Alligator mississippiensis: one gene and its partner. The protein of the gene in region 1 interacts with the protein of each later gene in a pairwise test. Links are inferred from orthologs where the notes say so. Each region holds a gene or a part of one and is shown on either strand. Other genes may lie near its edges.

Evidence for each region. The genes of interacting proteins can lie anywhere in the genome.
Region 2: the proteins of PPP3CA (region 1) and AKAP5 interact in binary tests that used the Homo sapiens proteins (3 or more experiments, as listed by UniProt). The link is inferred for Alligator mississippiensis from reciprocal best matches to the Homo sapiens genes PPP3CA and AKAP5.

Annotation. Positions count from the first base shown.
Region 1 is NC_081825.1:162,268,411-162,279,374, forward strand, and holds the start of PPP3CA (protein phosphatase 3 catalytic subunit alpha), read right to left. Parts: upstream 4,374-10,964; 5' UTR 4,282-4,373; coding exon 4,224-4,281; intron 1-4,223. UniProt on the Homo sapiens protein: Calcium-dependent, calmodulin-stimulated protein phosphatase which plays an essential role in the transduction of intracellular Ca(2+)-mediated signals. Many of the substrates contain a PxIxIT motif and/or a LxVP motif.
Region 2 is NC_081825.1:291,387,236-291,397,207, forward strand, and holds the start of AKAP5 (A-kinase anchor protein 5), read right to left. Parts: upstream 4,409-9,972; 5' UTR 4,260-4,408; intron 3,409-4,259; 5' UTR 3,311-3,408; intron 2,234-3,310; 5' UTR 1,406-2,233; coding exon 1-1,405. Other genes in the region: MTHFD1 (C-1-tetrahydrofolate synthase, cytoplasmic), read right to left, coding at 9,613-9,702. UniProt on the Homo sapiens protein: Multivalent scaffold protein that anchors the cAMP-dependent protein kinase/PKA to cytoskeletal and/or organelle-associated proteins, targeting the signal carried by cAMP to specific intracellular effectors.

The DNA of each region.
Region 1 (10,964 bases):
CAGCTTCTACTGGACAGGTATCTCCAACCTAAGAACTACCATAACACCAGTTCCACTGGTGGGACATTTAAGTAACAAATTAGCATCTCTTATGGAGGGGAAAATCTTAGGAGCAGACCCATGTGGAGACCATGGCCTAGCCAGCATGTGTGTTGTACCTTTTTCTGGTAACATGAAGGATTTTTCCGCACAAATTTGGCAAGCTAGCACCGTTCCTCCAGCACTAAATTCACTTGCCTCTCAGTCCACAATACATTTAATTAGGCACATGGCTTCAGACATACAAATAATCCTACTTATGTCAATGGAATTAGCCACATGCACTTGCAAAATCAAGCACATTTAAAAGTCACATTTTTATATGCTGTGAACACCAATAGCTGAAAACAAGCAGTCCAATAGTTGTAAGCAGTTCTTATCCCCCCTGCATCAGAAGGTTTCTATTTAAAGAGAAATTTAGGTAAATGGAAAAAACACTGCTTCACTAGACAAGTACAATATCACTCTTCAGACCAATATATGGGATTCTCTTTTCCCAGAGTTCACAAAAATTAACATTTTATTAAGTCTTGAAAACAAATCTGCTGCTCGGGTACCATTGTGCATAAATGCCATATAATCAAATCAATTGAATACAGTCTTGAAAACACCATACAACTGGCAGAACATGAAGTAACTGAAGTCCTTTTTCACCTTCCAATAACTCCCTAGCAGAGTGTTTAAAATCAACAATATATAATTAAAAACAAAAACAAAAACCAACAACCTTTCCAACAGGTGTCCATAATAGGCCAATCTGTGTGATACTGCTAGAATTCTCACCTCATCAAGTCCACCACTAAGAGTTATGTAACAGTGCCTACCTAGGATTTACACAGAACGCCTGACATGCTTGTTATAATAGGACATCTCTTGTCGTGTGTTATCTAATTGCGATCTTTGAAAACTAAAACATTTAACTAGCTTCACAGTCAATAAATTTTAAGAGCCGGATTGATAAAGTAACTATTCTTTGTGCAGCTATATGAAATAATGAAATATAAAACCTACATGCATGAGCTAAAAATACTTCTTCCCCAGATAAAAATTGCTTATGACTTTTTTTTTTTTTAAATCTTCAGAAATATCTCACTTTATACTAGTAAACAAGTTTAAGAGGTTTTTTGTCAAATACCAAGGAGTGCTGATTATCTACATCTGTGTTTAGTAATAAAATGCAAAGATTTCTGTTACTATTTCTGGGGCTATTTAGCTGTTCATTTCAAGAAGATATAGATGATTGATGATCTATGAAAAAGACAAGTGGTGCCCAACCTTTTCACCCTGTGGACCAGATGCATGGTGGCAAGTCAGTCTGTGGGCCAGATCTGGTCTCTGGGCCCGATCCAGCAGCTGGTCCTGGTGGTGGTCAATCCCTGGCCAATGGGGTGCTTAATCCAACCATGGGGGGAACAGCCCAGACAGGGCCCAATCCATCTGCATGAGGCCGGCCTGGGCCAGGACCTGTTCTAGCCATGTGGGGCCAGCTCTGATCCAGCTGTGTGAGAACAGCCCAGAGAGGGTACCATCTGGCTGCATGGGACTCACCTGGCTAGGGCCTCGTCCCTCCACATAGGGCTAGTCCAGACGGGGCCACCGCACTCCCACGCCAAATATCAAGACCCATAGGAGCCCCATGGGCCAGATGACATCATTCTACATGCCAGATCTGGCCCACGGACCAAGAAGTAAATACTATGGAAAAGACCATTTAATAGTCAAAGTTGTAACACAAGACCTGGGATTCTGCAGCTCTAGATGAAGGATAGGAGTCTTAGGCAATTTGCTTTTACAAGTCAAGCAAAGCTGCCTTAATTTCTTTTTCTTCATTTATGTTTCTAAACAGTGAAAAAAAACAACATTTATTTTAAGTTGCCTTCATTGAAATATGACAGTGTAAGAATAATCCTATTAACAATGAGTTTCTTGTGTATTACCGCTCCAGATTCTCTATTTAAGCATTTAACAGGATTTCATGTTTAATAAAAACAATGAACTAGTTAAATGCATCCAAATACTCTTTAAAATGTTGACATGTAATAACTATAGTCAGATAAATTAATAAATACCTAAGAAACTTTTGTTAAGTAGTCTTCCTTCTTTTAATGAATACTTTATAAAAAGAACAGAGTTAAATGTTTGGTGGACAGACTGTTCACTGAGTGTATAAAATCCACAAAATTATAATTTGTGTGTGTGTGTGTGTGTGTGTGTGTGTGTGTGTGTGTGTGTGTGTGTGTGTGTGTGTGTTCATATTTTTTTAAAATAATCTTTCTGGAAAGTTTGGAACCTATGTATTTACTTGAATGGAAGTATTTAAAAAAAAATGAAGAGCCATTACTGCCAAAAGTCATAGATTTCTCTTGCTGGCAAGTTTCTGATTCTAACCTGTAAACATCTGAATCATTAGAGACAATAACTCAGTTCACTGTGGGTGCAATTTTATATGTACCTGCATTCAGAACAGTGATATTTATTTGCTTTGTTTTTAATTAAAAAAAAAAAATATCAATGTCATAGTAGTTCTTACTCCAGTAGCACACCCAAGAAAATCAATTTTTTTCTTGCGGAAAGACCATAAGATTTGGTCCCATGTTTACCAAATTAGACACAAAATTTAAGAAATCTTTGTCTAATTCTTACGTGACAGTATTTGCTAAATGGTTACATCAAGATATAAGAAGTGTCTGTGATGCCCATGTCTTTAGATAACGCATCAGCCAAGGACAACCACATAACCCACCTTTAAAGCTTAGTCTTAGCGTGTCTTAGGACACTAATACAATGTATCATCCTCTCAACCATGCCATAAATATTTCGGGTTTCACAAGACAGGGCACATTGAAACTGTTTTTAATGCTACTATGGTGCAGGCAACTAATTTTCCTAAAGCCTCCCCAGATCCGAAATTCCATTAGGAATTAAAGAGAATGCACAGAAAACATTAAAATATCAAATTTGTTATTTGTTTGGTGTTTGGTTTTAGTCTATGCTCGCAAGACTCTACGTAACACAGACAATCCCCTCTAAATCTCCTGGACTTAAACACTGAGGGATTTGCATTTTCACCTGAAAACCTAGATACAGATGCAGACTTATCTCCTAAACTAAGTATGATGTACTGTACCTATGCATGCTAAACAATATATAGAACACAGAGGAAATATATGCACCGTGCATATATTAAAGCAGCCGGTGCATGGGATTTAATCACACATGACCTTTCCCTAAGAGGATCAATTCTTTATGGCAGTGCACGGTCTGGCTACTCAAACCCAAAGGGTGGCTTTCAAGACCTGAATGACCTACGAGCTGTCCAGCTCACCCTACGGTTCGCTTCGAAAGAAGATAAAAACCAGAGAGAAGGAGGCACGTTTGCGGGGAACACCCAGACACCAGGATTGCGCGCGCGCACATACATGGATGTGTGGCCGGAGCATGTCTGCTGGATAACTTCACATCCAGCCGAGCCAAATCAGAAAGGAAGAAAAAAGAAAAAAACAAACGGGGATGGGGTGGGTGGGGGGAGGGATTGTTTTTGGGGGGTTTTTTATTGCCTTTTGCTGTGCCAACAGGCAGCAGCATATATCCGTATTTCCATCTCCCAAGCACCAAGAGGCTTATCTTGGAGAAATATGCCATCTTCTCCAGCCGTGCCCCCTCCCTCCCCGCATCCACCCCCGCACGGAAATTCATGCGGCTCCTGCCTGGGCGGCCGCTGCGCGGGTCCCTCGCCCCTGCACCAGCGCTGGCCGGGAGGCGGGCGAGGCTCCCCCCCACCCCCCGAGAGCCGTGGCGCCTCCCCCCTCCCCCAAGGGGAGAAGCCGACCACGCAGGATCGCTCGCGGGTGCCTCCCGCCTCCCCCCGCCAGCCGGAGCGCAACGCCCCCGCAGCCCACGAGCGCCAGCGCCGCCAGCCGGGATTGGGGCCTCTGCGGGCAGATAGCTCGCGCGGGCGAGGAGCGGGAGCAGCCGGGGGCCGGCGGGCTGCGTGGGGGAGGGAGTGGGGGAGGGCGAGTGCCGGGCGTGCAGTCACTTGGGGGGCGGGCGATGCTGCAGTGGAGCAGGCCCCCCGCCAGCCCAGGGCCGGGATCCCCCGGACTCGCCCCGCTCCTGTCAGCGGCCCCGGCGCGGGAGGCCAGCGGAGGATGCGGAAGGAGCGCGGCGGCGGCGGCGGCGCTCACCTTTCACCACCCGGTCCGTCGTGGATAACTTGGGGTCAATCGCCTTGTGCTCAGACATCTCCGGCGGGCGCGGCGCGAGGGGCGCGGGGCCTCCCTCGCCGAGCGGTGCGGGGCGGGGCGGCAGCGGCTGCCGCAGCAAGGAGCCCTCGGCGTCTCCGGCGCGGGGCGGCGGGGAAAGTTGCGGCCGCTCGCCTGCTGCCGCTGCTGGCGGAGCTGGGCTGGGCTGGGCTGGCGGGGCTCCCTGCGCTGCCTCCGCCCCCTGCTCCGGGCGGGCGGGCTGACTTCACGCGCCGCGCGGGGGCTGCACAGGGCGGGTGCAAAACACAATACCCAGGGGGGCGAGGGTGAAGAAGGAGATTTAAGAACCCGGGTGCGGGTGCAGCGTCGCCGCCACTGCCCTCGGCACCTCCCACTCCCTGCGCTCACACACAACCCCGGTGCGGCCCAGGCCGAGGCGCAACCTACCCTCCCGCGCCCCGCCTCTCCGCCTCGCACCCATTGGCTGCGGAAGAGCTGCCAATCACTGTCAGGTATCTCGCGCCCCCCCTCCCCCCCAGGTGTTCCCGCTGCGCGCGGCCGGAGCGGGAGGTGGGGCTGCTCCGGGCTCCTTGCGCGCTTGGTTGAGCCGCAGCGGGGAAGCGCGGGGCGGGGGCTAAGGAGGGAGGTGTGGGGCCGCAGACGCCGAGTCAGCAGGCAGTGGCTGTAGTGGGGTGTGTCCCACCCCGACCCCCTCCTTGGCCGAGCCCAGGCCGCCGCAGCGGCAGGGGACGGCGCGTGTCGCGAGCGGCGGGGCCGGCCGCCGCTTTTCACTCCCTGCTCCGCTGCTGCACAACAGGAAAAGCTCCGGGGCGATTGCGCCTGCGTGAGGGCCCCTTGCAGCAGTAGCGGCGCACACGCCTGCGGGGGGGGGGATGCAGCGGGAGGTGGTTTCCCTCACCTGGCAGGGGAGATCCCCGCCTTCTCCGCCTTGAGCGGCTCGGCGCGGGTAGGCACCCCTGCCAGCGCCTCCCAATGCCAGGATCTCGGCTGTGCGGCCGTGGGGGTTGCTGTCTGGCTTCCCCTCTGGCTGGCTCCTTCCGCCTTCTGGGTACGGGCACCTGAGCCCAGGGGGCACCGGGACTCCAAGGGCTCTGGCACGTAGGGCGCCTGCCAGGGGGTTGGTACGGAGGATACTTGCGGGCGGTCGCGTCACGCAGACTTGAACGATTCAGCCCGCAGGATTCAGAACCGATTTGGCCCGAGACACAAAATGTCAACCAACCAAACAAATAAAAAAGCAGTGGCATTCACAGGTTCGCCCATGCACTGCTGCAGTCCTTTTGTGTCAGGGCTGGGGGCATCCTTCACTTAGCTTTCCTTTTGCTTCAGTGCCTCTCTCTGTCCAGGTCCCAGCTCTGCTATGGGGCTGAGGAAGAAGCATAGAAAGAAGGAAGGGGGGGGGGTGCTTGGTTGGCTAGGGTGGGAGCTTTCGCATTAGGGAGATAGGTGGATGACAGCTACCATTAAAAACTGATGCATTTCTTGAAGTGAGTGCTCACAATGTTATAGCAGGAAAGGAGGTTATCTTCCATGCAGGATCTAACTGCCAGGGTGTTGAGCTAGCCTATGACAGAAGGCGCACGTTAGCCTTATACTGTGCCATCTTACCTTTCCTCCCTGTTCTGTATAGCAGTGTATACAGTGTGCTTGCTACAAAACAACTGGGAAGAATGGATGACCTTTGAGCAAGTCTCTGCCACAGACTTAAGTGACCTTAGGAAAGTTGCCTAACCTCTACCTTGGTTTCACAATAGGATACATAAACAAGGGATAATAATAACTAGTTTATTGGGTGTTGGATGATCTCTTCATCTGTATTATAAATACCCAGGGGGAAGCAACTCTGAAAACGCAAAATGCTTTATCAGTTTCTAGGGATAAATTAGTTTCAGACTCGATAAGATTTTTGTTCTGGTTTTTGGAGTATCAGTAGTTCTAAAATGTACAAATGTACTGTTACTGCTTTGACTTAATTAAAAATGAATTTATGCAACAAATCATTTTCAAAGTCTGTGCATGCATGCACACATGCTTATGCACATACCCCCCTCCCCCTTTCTTCTTGAAATATCACTTATTATGCAAATGGCTAGGTTTTCAAAAGCACTCAGCTCCCAACATTTGGCTGTTGGGTGGTGAGCTCTTTTGAAAATCTGGCCCTTAGATCTTGATCATACAGTGAGCTTTTCATAAAGCGGGACTACTGAACCATTCAAGTCCATGAATCTTTGTCTTGAGTGCACTCATCCATCTACCTGCACCAAGCCCTTTGCAGCATCAAAGCAGTACATGCTGGGAAAGAAAGAATTTTGTTTTCTGTCATTCCATGTATTCACATAGAGTTTATCAAACAAAATGGCTTTTAATTTTAGATGACTCTGTGCTACAGAACAATTTAATGTCAGAATAGTTCACTAGCTTTGGAGCAAGAAGAATGGGCTAGAGGGTGGGGGGAGGTTGTTAAGAAAAACAACCTCTGATTATCAAGTAACCTTAAGGTTACCTGACACCCTTAAGGTACTTACTAAGAATATGCCACTTGAATAGTCTAATGCACAGAAATGCCTAGTGTTCATAGATTTTATAGACACTAGGGCTGGATAGACACCATGGCTGGAAGGGGCCTCGCAAGATCATCAGGTCCAGCCCCCTGACCAAAGGGCAGGAAGTCAGCAAGGGTCAAATGATCCCAGCAAGATAGGCATCCAAGTGTTTTTTAAAGTATCTAGAGTAGGTGCTTGCACCACCTCTGGGGGGAGTCTGTGCTATACCAGATTTTTTCTTCCTGTTGTTAGGTGTGAAGTATATAAAACAGGATAATAAATAGAGATAAAGGACTGCAGGAGAGGTAAGAGATGAACAATAATACTGAAATGTCTTGTCTTTGTATATAATTATTTGTTTCTCAAAATTCTGGCCAAGTGCACCCAACTGAGGGTCAATCAATAGGCATGTGGGAAGTTCTGTAAGTGGATCAGCAATGCCACATGCACAGTACAGCTGACAGTTGAACTTGTATTTATTTGAGACAGATTTCTTTGGCAGGTTTTAAACCCTCCCTGTTTTACAGTCATCCAGGTTAACTGGTTCTATATTGGGAATAATAATCCCCTTCTCAAAGATGGTTGGTGTTTGAACCAGAGCCACCGTTCTCTCCTGAAACTGTCACTTCCCTACAAGTTGTTTGAGTTAGAACAAAGTAGGCAGCCAAGCCGATACCACCTGCTGCAAGTTATTAGATGGTTGATGCCAATAATTCTGGCTCAGTCCATTCAGTAAATGGGGAAAGAATGCTTCCTGTGCTATGATTAATACTTTCATTCTTATGTCTTTTTTTAATAGGTTGGAAGCCAGTCCTAGGACTATCTGTCACACACTCCAGCCTGATCTTGTTTCTTGATCTTGATGCTGCTTTGAGTATACATAACCGCAGCCCTAGACAACACACCTCAGTTGGAGAGGACACCTGTTCATGCCTGCCTCTGATTGATATCTTGGGTATGTGCACACAGAGTGGGTGGAGTTGTACAAACCTTTAGTTTACAACCTGGAGTTGTAAACCCAGACTAGTCATGCCCAACTCATAGCTCACAGGTAACTCTTATTATCCATGCATCCCTCCAATACTGTTAGCAGACATAGGACATTGAAAAGTTAAAACTGAGATTGACAAAAGGAATACATGATGACATTGCCACAATTTATCACTGCCTCAGTATAGCGGCCTGTGGGCCACTGAAGGCTTTGAAACACTGTTGTATACACAGGCCATTTCTCCTTAGAGGTCTATAGTTTTGCAGCCTTTTGAAGCAAACTTTATGAAGCTGTCTACAACAGTAACTTTCTTAAGAACAACATTTATTAAAAATAAAGTGAAACTAGTAGTGAAACAAAATATACTGTTTACATAATTTGTGTCTTGATTGATTTTTCCAATGAATGAAACTAAAGAGTATCTTCTCTTAAGTACAAAGAAAAGAAACATAATATCCTAGTCCTTCAAAAGCTATTTCCCTTTCTGAACAGTTGTTGGTCAGTGTGACACACATTTTTTCTCCTTTCTGTGACAGAGAGAAAGAGATCTTTCCGCTTCTTGGGGAAAACACATTTTGAAGTCCTGTTTTTAAGACCCAATCCATGATTCAAGTTGCTCTGATATGCCTGAGTGGCAAATACATGCTGATTTTATATAGTCTTGTCAGGTGTTTGGCTCCTCAAAGGGTAAGAATCCAGCTGCAGGGGATCAGCAGCTAATAATCTGCCTGGCTGGGAAACAGTTGGATCTGATACCAGTTAATGAGGGAGGAGTTGCAAAGAGTGTTAAACCCTAAGAAGGGGCTTGGCTCAGTTGTTGGGAAGAAGTGCAAAGCAAGGGTTGTACATCTTAAGGAAGACAGCAGGTTTTTTGTTTGCTAGCTTGTTCACCTGTTTGTTCATTTTACTGTGGAGACAAGGTTCCTCCATGTAAAATAAGCTGGTTTGAAACCCTGGAGTCAGAGCTGACTCCCCTGTCTTAGGAACCTGGGTGAGTGACCCGCGTACATGTCTCCTTTCAAATGCTTACCTTCCTGGCCATTAAGAAAGCTCTGCTCCATGTCTCTTTGCCTTGAATTAGAAATGAATAAATTATAGTAATCTGTGATTTAGTTTTTCCCAAATTTTGTTCCACATTAAACACTTAATACCTATTTATGCATGGAATTATTCAGGAGCACCTATTTCTAAACAATCCTGTGTGTTGATACTGTTATTCCAGAATACAAATAAGAACAAAAGAACTGCTATTTAGTGCTTTTGAAATGGTTCAGGAGGTTTAAACCACTGTAAACTGGCTTGTAGGTCTGCACATTTGCACTTTAAACTGCATTTAAACCAGTTTAAGTGTTATGTCTGTCCACACCTCTTTGGTACTTTCATATTATGTCTCCTAGTTCTAGGATTGTATTAGAGAGAGTAAATTATAAATCTCTGTCTACTTTCTCTGCAGCACTTATTTTGTTAAATCTCTGTCATTTCCTTCCTCAGTCATTTCTTTTCTAAAATGAGAAGTCTCCCTCTATACCCTTGACATCTCTTTTTGCCATTTGAAAGTGCCTTATGCTAAACAAAATCAAGGCAGTTATTCTGGAATAGAAGTCCACACAGAAATTATTCAGTAATTGTTGCTTCTGAATAACCCCATGCATAGACAAGCCTTCATTCATAAGTACCAGCCCCACTATCATGTCCTCCTACACAGTAGTACCTAAGGTTTGTCTGTCTGCTCTTTACACCTGTTTCCTTTATTTGTTTTTAAGGATAGCATTGTAATAGTAATTATTATTCTTCGACTTGTTGGATATTTTAGGGGATAATTTTGTTGCTTATTATTAAAATCTGGATTTATAAATAGACTGTTAGTGAAATAAAGTAACAAAAAAGATGACAAACAGCACAGACTTTTAGCTTAGGATACTAACTTCAGATTAGCACCTTAAACTGAGCGCATCCAGATGAGCGCAAATGTGCTGTATGTGGTGCTGCAGCCTTGTGTTCTGTGATGCACATGCAGACATTCCCTGTACTGCTAATTTGCAGCAGGGGGTGGGGTTGAGACCTGGAGATCTGGTGTCAAAAAAAGGCCAGCCCAGGTGCTGGTTCCAGCCTTCCCTACCCCACCCAGGGCAATGTGTCACATGCCAAAGTATGTGTGCATGGTCACTCCATAGGGACAAGCAGCAGCATGTATTGTGCCACGGCTCTTTGTTACTCGGGAAATGCATTTGCCTGCACATCTGGATCCAGCCTTTGTGGCTGTCTGTGGCTGAACAGCACCAATCACAGCAGAGTCATGGTCCATAACTTGGGTTCCTGGGCACTACGGTAATACAGGGCTCAGGGTAAAACAGGGCTCAGCTCCATTACTGTGGGGAGGAGTGTGTCTGAGCCACCTTTGACCCAGGATGGCTTCCCACCCCCCAACTCAGAAACTGATGCAGCTGTGCTGGGGCTGCACTGGCCAGCTGGAAGCCAGCACAATGAGCACAGCCATGGTGAATGGCCCTGGCAGGGGGAGTTCCCCCAGCTGCAGGCAGTTGGAAACCCAGCCCCCCAGGCAGGGTGGAAAGGCCCACCCCCACAAGAGAGGGGGTTATAAGCAACTAGGAGTGCCTGCGCAGGTCACTCTCTGGAGTGAGGGGAAGACAGAATGCTGGTAGGGCTGTATGTAGTTGGTGTGGTCTCTAGGTGGGCCCTCCCCACTGGGCCAATGCTCTGTGTCCTGCCTGCACCCAGGACAGGGCTACTGAGGCACTTGGATCACAGCCTAGAGGATGGACCCCAGAGGCTAGATGCACCCAGCACAAGGATAAGTGCGACCTTTTTTATTTACTGTTATTGTTTTGTGTTTTCAGTTACAGACCCAGGGCAGGGTGCCTAGGGCCTGGAGTAAAGCCTGGAGGCTGGGATAAGCCTCAAGCCATCTGACCAGGGAGGCCGGGGTCCTACTCAGTGGTTCTTCGGCTAACCAGATGCAACTAGAGCAAAAAGGGGAGAGGTGTGGCACCGCACCCACCTCAATACACCCAGCAGCAACCATCTGGGGCTGCAGCTACCAAGGTAGCTCATAAATACACATAATAAAAGCAATCATAATTGTAGGGATAACCACAATTATGATATAATAAAATGGAAGTTGTTACTAAGCATTATAAAATGTTCAAA
Region 2 (9,972 bases), about 130 Mb from region 1:
ATGACTGAATAGCTGCTTTTACAAGTGAAGACGCGGTTTCTATCAGAAGCAATTCATACTGCTCTGAAGTTCTTTGCCCCTGATCACTGAGACCTTTGGGTGAGAGAGCATGGGAACTGTTTTTATCCTCCCTCCAGTGGCCGCTGCCTGCCACTGAGCCCTGTTGGCAATCTGAAAAGCTACTGAAATCAAAGTTCCCACTTTTCTTATTCCCTTTGGGTTTTGTATGACGTGGGATCAAGGGCAGCTTGCAGATATAGCTGGGCTCCACTTCATTGCAATCGTCTGCATCTGTAACCGTAATCACAATGCCCACCCCATCAACATCCTTACTTTCTTCTAATTTAAATTGTTCGTTTGAACAGCTCTGTACATTTGCTGCCTCATCTCTAAATGCTGACTGACTGGAACCCATTATCGTCTCTTTGGATTTACAGTCCTCACTAACGCTTATGCTGCTTCCAAACTCATCCAGTCCAGGCTGCTTCTCAGGCATGGCGTTTCTACCTTGTACCTCGGTGACTCTAGGTACATGCTCTGGTAGGTCCTCAGGCGGCTCAGCACCAAACGCAGTGTTGCCATCATCCTGCTTGGTTACTGTATGCACTGCTGTTTCTGGTTGGCTCCTCGGACACTGTTTTTCCTGGACTATTACAGCAACTGTCTCTAAATTCATTGTTTCTGACTGGACAGGACATGCTGTGTGTTGATCGGTGTCTGGCCCGGGTTCTCGCAAAAGCTCGTTCTCCCCAGCAGAACTGTCACTTTTTTCAGCCGTACTGTCACTGTCTTTCTTTGCAGCAGACTGGCCAAAGGATCGATCAGGGCTAGATTTAACTGCAGTTGCCAAATCCTCGGGTTCACTGGTAGCTTTATTCAAAATGCCCATTGCTTCATTTCCCTTAATACTGTCGTCCGATTCCTCTATCATTTCACACTGGCTGGGTTTTCTCTTGCCACCTGAAAATCTTATGCATGGTATTTTCAGACCAGAACGAACCTCTTTCTTGGGCAAACTCTGCAAGCCAGCCTCCTCTGTACTGGTCTCCAGCTGGACTTGAGAGTCGGAAGGTACGTGTTTCCTGGAAGAAGACTTTAACTTTCTCCTTGGTCTCACAAAACATTTTATAGCTGCCCAGGCTCCTTTTGGTGACTGAGATGGATTTGAAGCTTTCCCTTCTCTGTGGTCCGCACTGCACTGGCTGGTTTGATTCAAGTTTGCAGACTCTTCTTCGCAGGTACCCTTCACGTCTGAAGCCTTCTTGCCTGACTTTTTTCTTTTCTTAAAACAAAACATGGAGGGTTTTTCTGCCTCTTCTTCAGCTGGACGGCACAGTTTTGCTGCACTCTGCATTTCTGACTCTGCTGTGTTTTCCGTTTGAATATCCTTAGCTGCCTTCTCCATACTTGTAGCCCCTTTTTCTTATTTTTTACACAATAATTTTTCTCTATTAGCCCTTCAGATGAATGAACTTCAAAGAAGCTCAAAGGATGTTTCTTAGAAGTTATTTCTAAAGAACATTTAATTGCTTTAATTTACTGATAGGACACTATACAAAGGGATGTTTTGATGGGGTCCACATGTTAGTTTTCTATTTTCATTTGGTTTTATTACTTGCTTTCTTATCCTTCCTCAGAAAGACTTAATATTTACATTTTAAGAACATGCTTTCCTTTCTTTAACTGACCAGACTCAGCCTCCCCTTTAGGATAATCAACCTGCAACACTACTCGATGTGGTGCTGGTATTATTTGATCAATAATCCAATGGTTTGATTTTCAATTCTTGATCTAACATCCATTAAACATTTTCTATTGATGACAGGCAACAGAAAACAACTTCCACTTTCTAATACATTCACGAGAACACTGTCTGAAGTGATAGTAAAACAAAATACAGCAAGTGGCCTTATTTTGTCTCCAATGAGAAGGTCAGCTGTTATTCTGTCTTTTCTCATTTAGGTTTTACTTCAGTTCATGTGACAAGTTATGCCACGCATGCGGAAAAGTATGGCGTAGTCTTTCATCTTTCCGAGTGCTACATGGGCGTCTGCAACAAAGCAAAGCGATGAAAAACATTTAGGTGCTAAGAATGAAAATACATATTTTTTTCAGATTTGTGCATTTTGCTTCTAAAATCCCGTGTGCATCCCGATCCATGGGGGTGGGCAGCAGGGTTAGGCTGTAAGTCTATCCTCAGGCGGACAACTGCAACTCTTCTTGGAATCAGCATCTGAAGGCAAAATAAGGTCACTAACGTGCCACATTAGATACATTAAAGCATAAGATATGAATTTTATATAGAATGAAGGGGAATTTACTTTTCCCCCACATCATCAGAGAAAATACCTTTCTTTTCCATTTTCCAATGATTTCCTAAACATTTTCTACATCTCCCCTACATGAGCTCACAATTCCCTCAAGGGAAATTATAAGCTTGAGACATCTTATATTTTTATCCTTCATGCACAGGATGATGATGTGCAGCGATATGAAATATAAAAAGGAGGCTTGCGAAATCCAAACATAACCCAAACTGTATGAGGCACTCATTTATAGTGCTTGCATGTCTTCCATGGCAACCTTACTCACACAGTGCATGCATTCATCATAAAATGCATGTAATCTTTTTAAAGAAATGCTGCCATCACCAGAACATTATGAACAAACAAATGTATCTAACAGGGAAAGGACACATTTTTGTACATGGGATACTCCCTTACTGGATACTTTGAGAAGTGCTTGAGGAATATTTTCTTTTACGTACGTCTTGAATTCCTTTTAAAAATGCACATATTCTTAGTAGTTTTAAAAAGCTAAATTGAATTGTTATATTCAGCAGTCATATAGTGTTATCCAGAGTGGCTGCAGGAATGTGATCTACTCTGAAGTGATATTTTATTATGAATATTTTTTTTGATAATTAATGTCACGATTTGCTTGCTAAAACTTGACTCAAAGCTCTGTGCTCTGGAGTCCGTACCTATGATAAAATACATGAAATCTGTAACAGAGTGAGAACCTAGCTTAAAAAAATAGATTTAGGAAAGTGTTTCATCATAATCATCATCATTTTTTCCTTTCTTTTGGCATTACTGTGCCTCTGATTGGAAAGATAAAGAGAAGAAAAATCCTAGAGAATGTATAAGATTAGGCGTCTTCTCAGTCTCTTTTTCTTTTCATTTATTTATTGTTCTTTTCTTTTATAACACCAACACACTCTGGGATCACTCCGATACACCCTTCACCTCATGCTAACAACACCACCCCCAATTAAACAGCACAAAAAATCACATCTGGATGCCCTGACCTCTTGCGTGCTCCTCTGCGTGTGTGGCCATTCATCCCTTGAACGTCAGGCGAGCGGGTGCTGACTACCGGCCGTCTTCAGGCCAGTGGCGTCTGGAACTGCAGGGAAGGAGAAGGACAAGGTGCTCGGTGCACGGCTAGCTCTGGGCTTGACCCCATACACCCTTTTCTAGATGAATCATAGAAAATGAGGGTCGGAAGGGACCTCAGGAGGTCGCATCTAGTCCAACCCCCTGCTCAAAGCAGGACCATCCCCAACTACGTCATCCCGCCCAGGGCTGTGTCCAGCCGAGTCTTAAAAACCTCCAAGAACCGAGCTTCCATCACCTGTCTGAGCAACCTGTCCCAGTGTTTCACCACCCTCCACGTGAGAAAGTTTTTCCTAATATCCAACCTAACCTGCCCTTGCTGCAACTTGAACCCATCGCTCCTCGTTCTGTCTGTCACCCCTGAGAACAGCCCAGCTCCCTCCTCTGCGCAGCCCCCCTGCAGCTTCGATTAAATCCCCCCGGCTTTCTCCTCTCCGGACTAAATCAGCCCAGTTCCTCCAGCCTCTCCTTTATCAGTCCGTCCCCCAGCATTTTCCTCGCCCTCCACTGCACTCTCTCCAACTTGTCCACATCCTTTCTGTATGGGGGGTGCAAAACTGGACCCCAGATGCGGCCTGCCAGTGCAGAAGAGAGGCAGCTCACTCCCCTCCTCCTCCTCCTCCTCCCGGCGAGGATGCCCGGAGCCTGCTTGGCAACAGGGCAGGCGCGCCCTTGCCTCCGCCGGGCAGCGCCTCGCCTCGCCTCGCCCCCGCAGGGCGCACTTCGTGCCTTTGGGCCCCGATCCCCCCGGGTCCGTGCAGAGCGCGGGGCACGGGGAGGATGTCGGATTTCCAGGCAGGGCTGGAGGCTCGCGGGGCCGAGGGAGGGGGACGTTTCCCAGGCTCGGGGGCCCGCACCCACCTTGGCTCCGGCTCCGGCTCCGCGGCAGGTGCGGGTGATGCTGCGCGGCGGGCGCGCCCGCTCCGCTCCGCCCCGCCTCCCCCGGCCCCGGGGTGGGTGGTCCGGGCTCGGCTCCTCCCCGCGCCCCGCGGCGGGAGCCGCCCTGCCCCTGCCCGGCCACGTGCGGGCACGTCTGTGCGCCCCGCGCGCTGCAGCGCTTCAGCACGGCGGGCGGGCGGGGGCTTGGCTTCAACCCGGGGGGACACGGTCCCTGGCCCTCGGGGATGCAGCGGCCCCGGGGCTGTGGCAGCGCTGCCGCGAGCCCCGAGCCCCAGGCTGCTCCCGCCACAGCAAGCTGCAGTTGTCACTTGGAGATGTGCTAAAAGGCAGGGCTGTTTGCGGATGACAAAAGCACCCCAGGGAGGGAGAGGCTGCTCTCCTTTTCCTATCGGGAGCTGGCAGGTTTTCTGCCTCGGGAATTTTGCACCAGACGCTCTCCTGCCAGGAGAGCCATTTCCATTTTGCAAAGGTTTCAGCTAAAAAAAAATCCAGTTTTTCTATTTTTATAGAAAATGCCCTTATAGGTGAGAAAGACGCACCCTGGCCGGGTCTCGGGTTGAGCTAGTAGTTCCCAGAACAACGCGCTAGCACGGTTTTTTTCTTCATGCTACCCTCTTACACCTAGCTGGGGTCATCTAGACCCAGCACTCTTTCCTGCCTGTGCGAGGGGTCGGACTCGATGATCTATTGAGGTCCCTTCCGACCCTGGCATCTATGAATCTACACCCCGGCCTCTACGCTTCAGTTAAAACAAAAGTTTCAAGGTGCCGATAACTGAGATAAACAGGAAAACATGCCAAGTGTAGCATCCAGAGGGACCTGAACTTCCCCATTCACTAACAAGAACTCACAATTTACTGCCTCTTAGCACCTGCAAATGGAGGGAGCAGTGTACATACAATATGTTGAACATCTGCACAAGGGAGCGCTGTGCATGAAGCTCAGAGCACCATCTTCCCCCTGCCCTTCCCAGTCTGCCTTCAGCCGCTACAGGCAAGCACCGAACCGTACCCAGTCCAGAGTGCAGACCGGCACAAGGGAGATCTACGTGAAGCAAGCACAAAGAAAGTACTTACCCTTTAGGCATTTTTTTTGGAAATGCACGTACTTTTGCAGCCAGTATTTTCTCCCGTACAGAAATATATGGCATATTTAACTTAGCAGTGTCATCCTATTGCTCCCTTTCTTAAAAGGTGTGTTACTTAGCTATATAGCTGTGCTCACTGGGCATACGACTTGGACGTTATACAGGTGGTGCAAGCCAACCAGTAACAAAGTCCTGGAGCGTGTTAGGGGCATGTCCACCAAAGTGTCAGCTATGACGGCTTGGACACAAAGCTCAGATGGATGACAACCTTGTAGATGAGGAACTTGAAGGATGGGAAGAGAAAGCATGGTTGCCTACAAAAGTGCTTCACGGACTGCATAAAGGTTCACTTCACTGAGTGCAACCCATTGACTAGCTCCTTTGAGCTCTTGGCTGTAATAAGCAATGAAGTGCCACAGTAAGGGAAGACATAAGCCTGTTTAAACACGGAGGGCATGCTCTTAAGCAGGAACAGCACACAAGCCAAAGGCTGCGTTCACAACAGCAGCAACGGCAGCCCGGCTCACACTGGGTGGCACTGAATTTTGTGACAAAAAGGAATTTGCGGTGCATAAGCTGGCAGTTACCTGTGCAAATGCCAGGTGGCCTGACTGGCACCAACATCCTTCATTATGATGGATGCATAACAACACTGATGGTAACTCTTATGACAGATGTGTTTCTGCCAACTTTTCCTTATCCAGCGACGACCCATGCCTCTCCTAGGTGAGTTGTTCCTATCAGGAGCTACAAAGAATAGAAGATCATGATGAAGCTTGTCAGGGCGTAGGCAGTTTTTCCCTCTACCTTAAAAGGCAAAGACAAGGAAGCTAACAAACAGCATCAAGTCAAACACATGTGCCAGCATCATGCGACTAGCATCATATCTGATCACATTTGACTCCTTAGACCAAGTGGTAAAATATCTATTCGCAGTTGAATCAGGTGGGGGCAGATTAGCATGAGACTGGAGTTGCAGCAAGATGCCTTAACCACACTGCCAAAAAGAGAATGTGAATCACAAATTCAAGTACTTCACCTCAAGGTGGATGATACAGATTTAGGTCCCTCATTACATCAGCTTAAATACCTTGCATTTGGAACACAGTTGGGTAGATAAATTGCTCAGAACTCAGCTTTTATGGAGTTTCAGAATAAGCTGATCATGCAGAAGAATTATCTGACAGAGGTGCTAAGGCTATGCGAATAGGCAGGGATTCCAGCTAGACCGAGGACAAGCTTTTTTGCTTGAAAGCAGATTTTTGAGATACAATGCTTGCGTTCTTCTAATATTTGTCTTACTCCGGCAGCGAATGTGGCATGGGCAACATGGGAAGAGGCACATATAGCGTGTACTCTCCCTATCTTAATGCCCACGGCTGGCCCCAAACCAGCAGAATTAGGTTAACATCCCACATTATGTCACGGATGGAACTTAGCAGAAATGCCACCATCTTGGGTAACCATGGGGATGTTCTTTCCATGACACACACAGTTTTCCAGGTCTGTAAAGGCACAAGGAAGTCTTACATCATTTGGATTTGATCGCTCTAGACAAAAGCAGAAGGAATGGAGGGGGGCAGGGAGGGAGACTTGAAGATTTATCCAGTATGTAAAGTGTTCATGGATCCATAGATTGTTAGGGGCTGGAAGGGACCTCGCAAGATCATTGTGTCCAGCCTCACAGCACTAGGCAGGAAAGACAACTGGGGTCAGGTTTATAAAAAAAAAAACAAAACAGCAATTAGTGAATGCCCACTGAAGTTCAGAAAAGAGGCAATTAGCTTGTTTTGTGCAAAAAAAAAATTATGATATCCATAAAATTGAACTCTAAGGATGGTTAAGCCCTGGAACAGGCAGTCAAGAAAGAATGGGAAAAGCCCATCTGTGGAGGTTTTTATAAAACAGGTTAGATGAGCATCTTTCAGGGAGGGTCTGGGTATAATTACCTGCCTCAGAGCAGGAAGATGGATTAGATGACCTTGTGAGGTCCCCTTCAGCCCTGTATTTCTATGATTAATCACTGGATTAACGAGATGTCAACTGAAATAGTCCTTGCAGAAAGGGAGAGGACAAGCTGCTTTCTAATGTTTAAGAGCGTCATATTAAAGAACGTGAAAAGGTGACCAGGAAAGAAAAAAGGCAGGTTGAAGGAATGAGATGGGCTGTTCGGAAGAGGGGGATGCAGCAGGAAAAGCAACAACGAGACGAGAGAGGAAGATTGAATGAAGAAACTGGCACCTGCAGGCTGGCCAGCTTGCCTCCAAGAAGCAGCCAGCACAGGATGCCTTAGTTGAAGGAGCTCCTCATGTACCTAGCTATGCACTACACATGGGGAAAAGCAATTCCTGACCCCATGCCAACAGTCCGTTCAGACCCTGAAAATCTGATTGCAAATACCTGCTTTGCTTTGAATATTATATAAAAGAAAATTTTAAACAAGCCTAAAAATGCCTTTTAGGAATCTTATGACAACTTAAGTTATTGTAACTTCACTCCTGTGACAGCCCCGTAATTGTTACATAATTATTCTGATAGCTTGCTATATATAGTGTGCATGTATTACAGCTGAGCCCATATGCTGATGCACACTCCTACATCAATGCTTCTCCCAGTCACTGCAATTCTTTAATATGTTCTTAGGCTCAGATACAAGCAATGGGCCTTGCAGTCTGATGTGGAAAGGATTATTCATAGATATTTAGCTGCTTGCATGGGTAAGATTTTCTCTTCAATTGCTGGATTAGCAGAACTGGTGGTTTCACTTCAGATCTCTTGCAGTCAATGGTAAGCATATCAAAATCCACTGAATAAAATTTAGGCAGTTTATTTTCCTACACATGACATGCAGTATCCAGGAAGGGATGTGAGATTAAACCTAAATATACTGGTGCACTGGAGGCTCAACAGTATTACTGCAATAATCACTTTTACCTGTCAATACTGGAAACTGCTGCTGTGTACAATCCCCAAACTGACCATAAAAATAAAGTTCAGCTTCATTAAACGCAATGCATATATTAAAGCCCAGGGTACTCTGAAAGGATTTAGCCATTCATTTGTATTAATTACAAGTCTGGCAACAACTTAGTTTTCCCATTATGAGAATTTTTTTGGACTACTCTGACAAACCCCACTGCAAACAATTTGACTCAGTGCTTGTGCTGTCTCTGTTCACCCAAAAAAAAGATATTTCAAGAAGCAAGGGTTAGAAACAGTGTAAGAAAACTCATCCATCTAAGTCAGAAAACCATGTATGGCATATTCTCTTCTTCAGCCACAGCCACTGAATGGAGAGCCAGTCTGCAAAAAGGTGATGTCCTGTGTTTTGTGCACAGCACAATATATAAATGGCACAGATGCTGATCACAGCAGGGATTTCTAATCGGGAGATCTGATATGGTTTACGTGTTGATAAGGACAAAATACACCAGAAACCAAAAGCTTTTGGGAAGTGGAGAAACGAAGGAATTCTTCTTCGCTACGTACCTGTGACTGATACTGGTGCAGTCTCATGTTACAACATCCTCTCCTTGAATGCTAGCAGTGGATTCGAGAATTGAGTAGGTAGAAAGACTGTCCAGCCTTTAAAGGACAATGTCTACCCATGGTCTAAAAATATACTGAAAACAACTTAAGCCCCAGGCTGTCGCAAACATTGGACAAGTCAGGAAACTCCATTTTTATGTTTTAATATATTAAAATCATCTTATTAAGATCAGTGATAGAAAGGGAGGGTTAAAACCAGGTGGTTTGGCTACAAGTATGAAGCAAAATGTTCGTATTCAATAAGGAAATATTTAAAAATATCAGTGTGTAAAACTTACTGCAGGTTCTTCACTGAACTAAAAGATTAGCTTGGAATAAGACTTTAAAAAAATTACTGCAAATTTTAACAAACATATATATTCCAGTCATTCCCAAATGCTTCTTATCCCATTCACTTCACATCTTGCATCCTCAGTCGTATCTTATTTTGGCTTAAGTCAGGGCACAGTTCAGTTTACATTACTCATCAGGTAGTCTTCGGGTAGCTAGGAAGAAAAATAAATCTAATTACTAAATTATAGTACTGCAGGAAACTTTTAGTCTGAATTATAATCAAATAAAAACATGTAGCCTTATGCTCAGATGAGTGTAACTACATTAGCTCAGGCTTTAAAAATAAAACTCAAACATTTGCAAACTAGCCTAAGGAAGACATTTACCTCTGGTTGGCAACATTTTTTAGAAGAGCCCATTCACCTCTTCTGTCACTGGGTCCAAGTCGATATCATAGAAGCAGGGTCGAGTTGGAAGGCCTGGCATAGTACTCATCTAAGAGACAAAGACAGCTATATTAAAGCAATAAGCAGGATTTAGTGGATGGAATTGGGACCAGGAGTTAGAGGGGCCTTGTCCTATTCCCGGCTCTGGCACCGACTCAGTGGCCTCATATAATGCACTTAAGCATAGGTTTATGCTTATACTTGTGTATAGTTCTGCTACTCAGGGAACAGCCTGCAAGCTTAAAATTACTATGAGCTTATATGCTCTACTAGGCTGAGGCAATAACCACTTGTAGCAGTTCCTCTGGTTTCACTTACT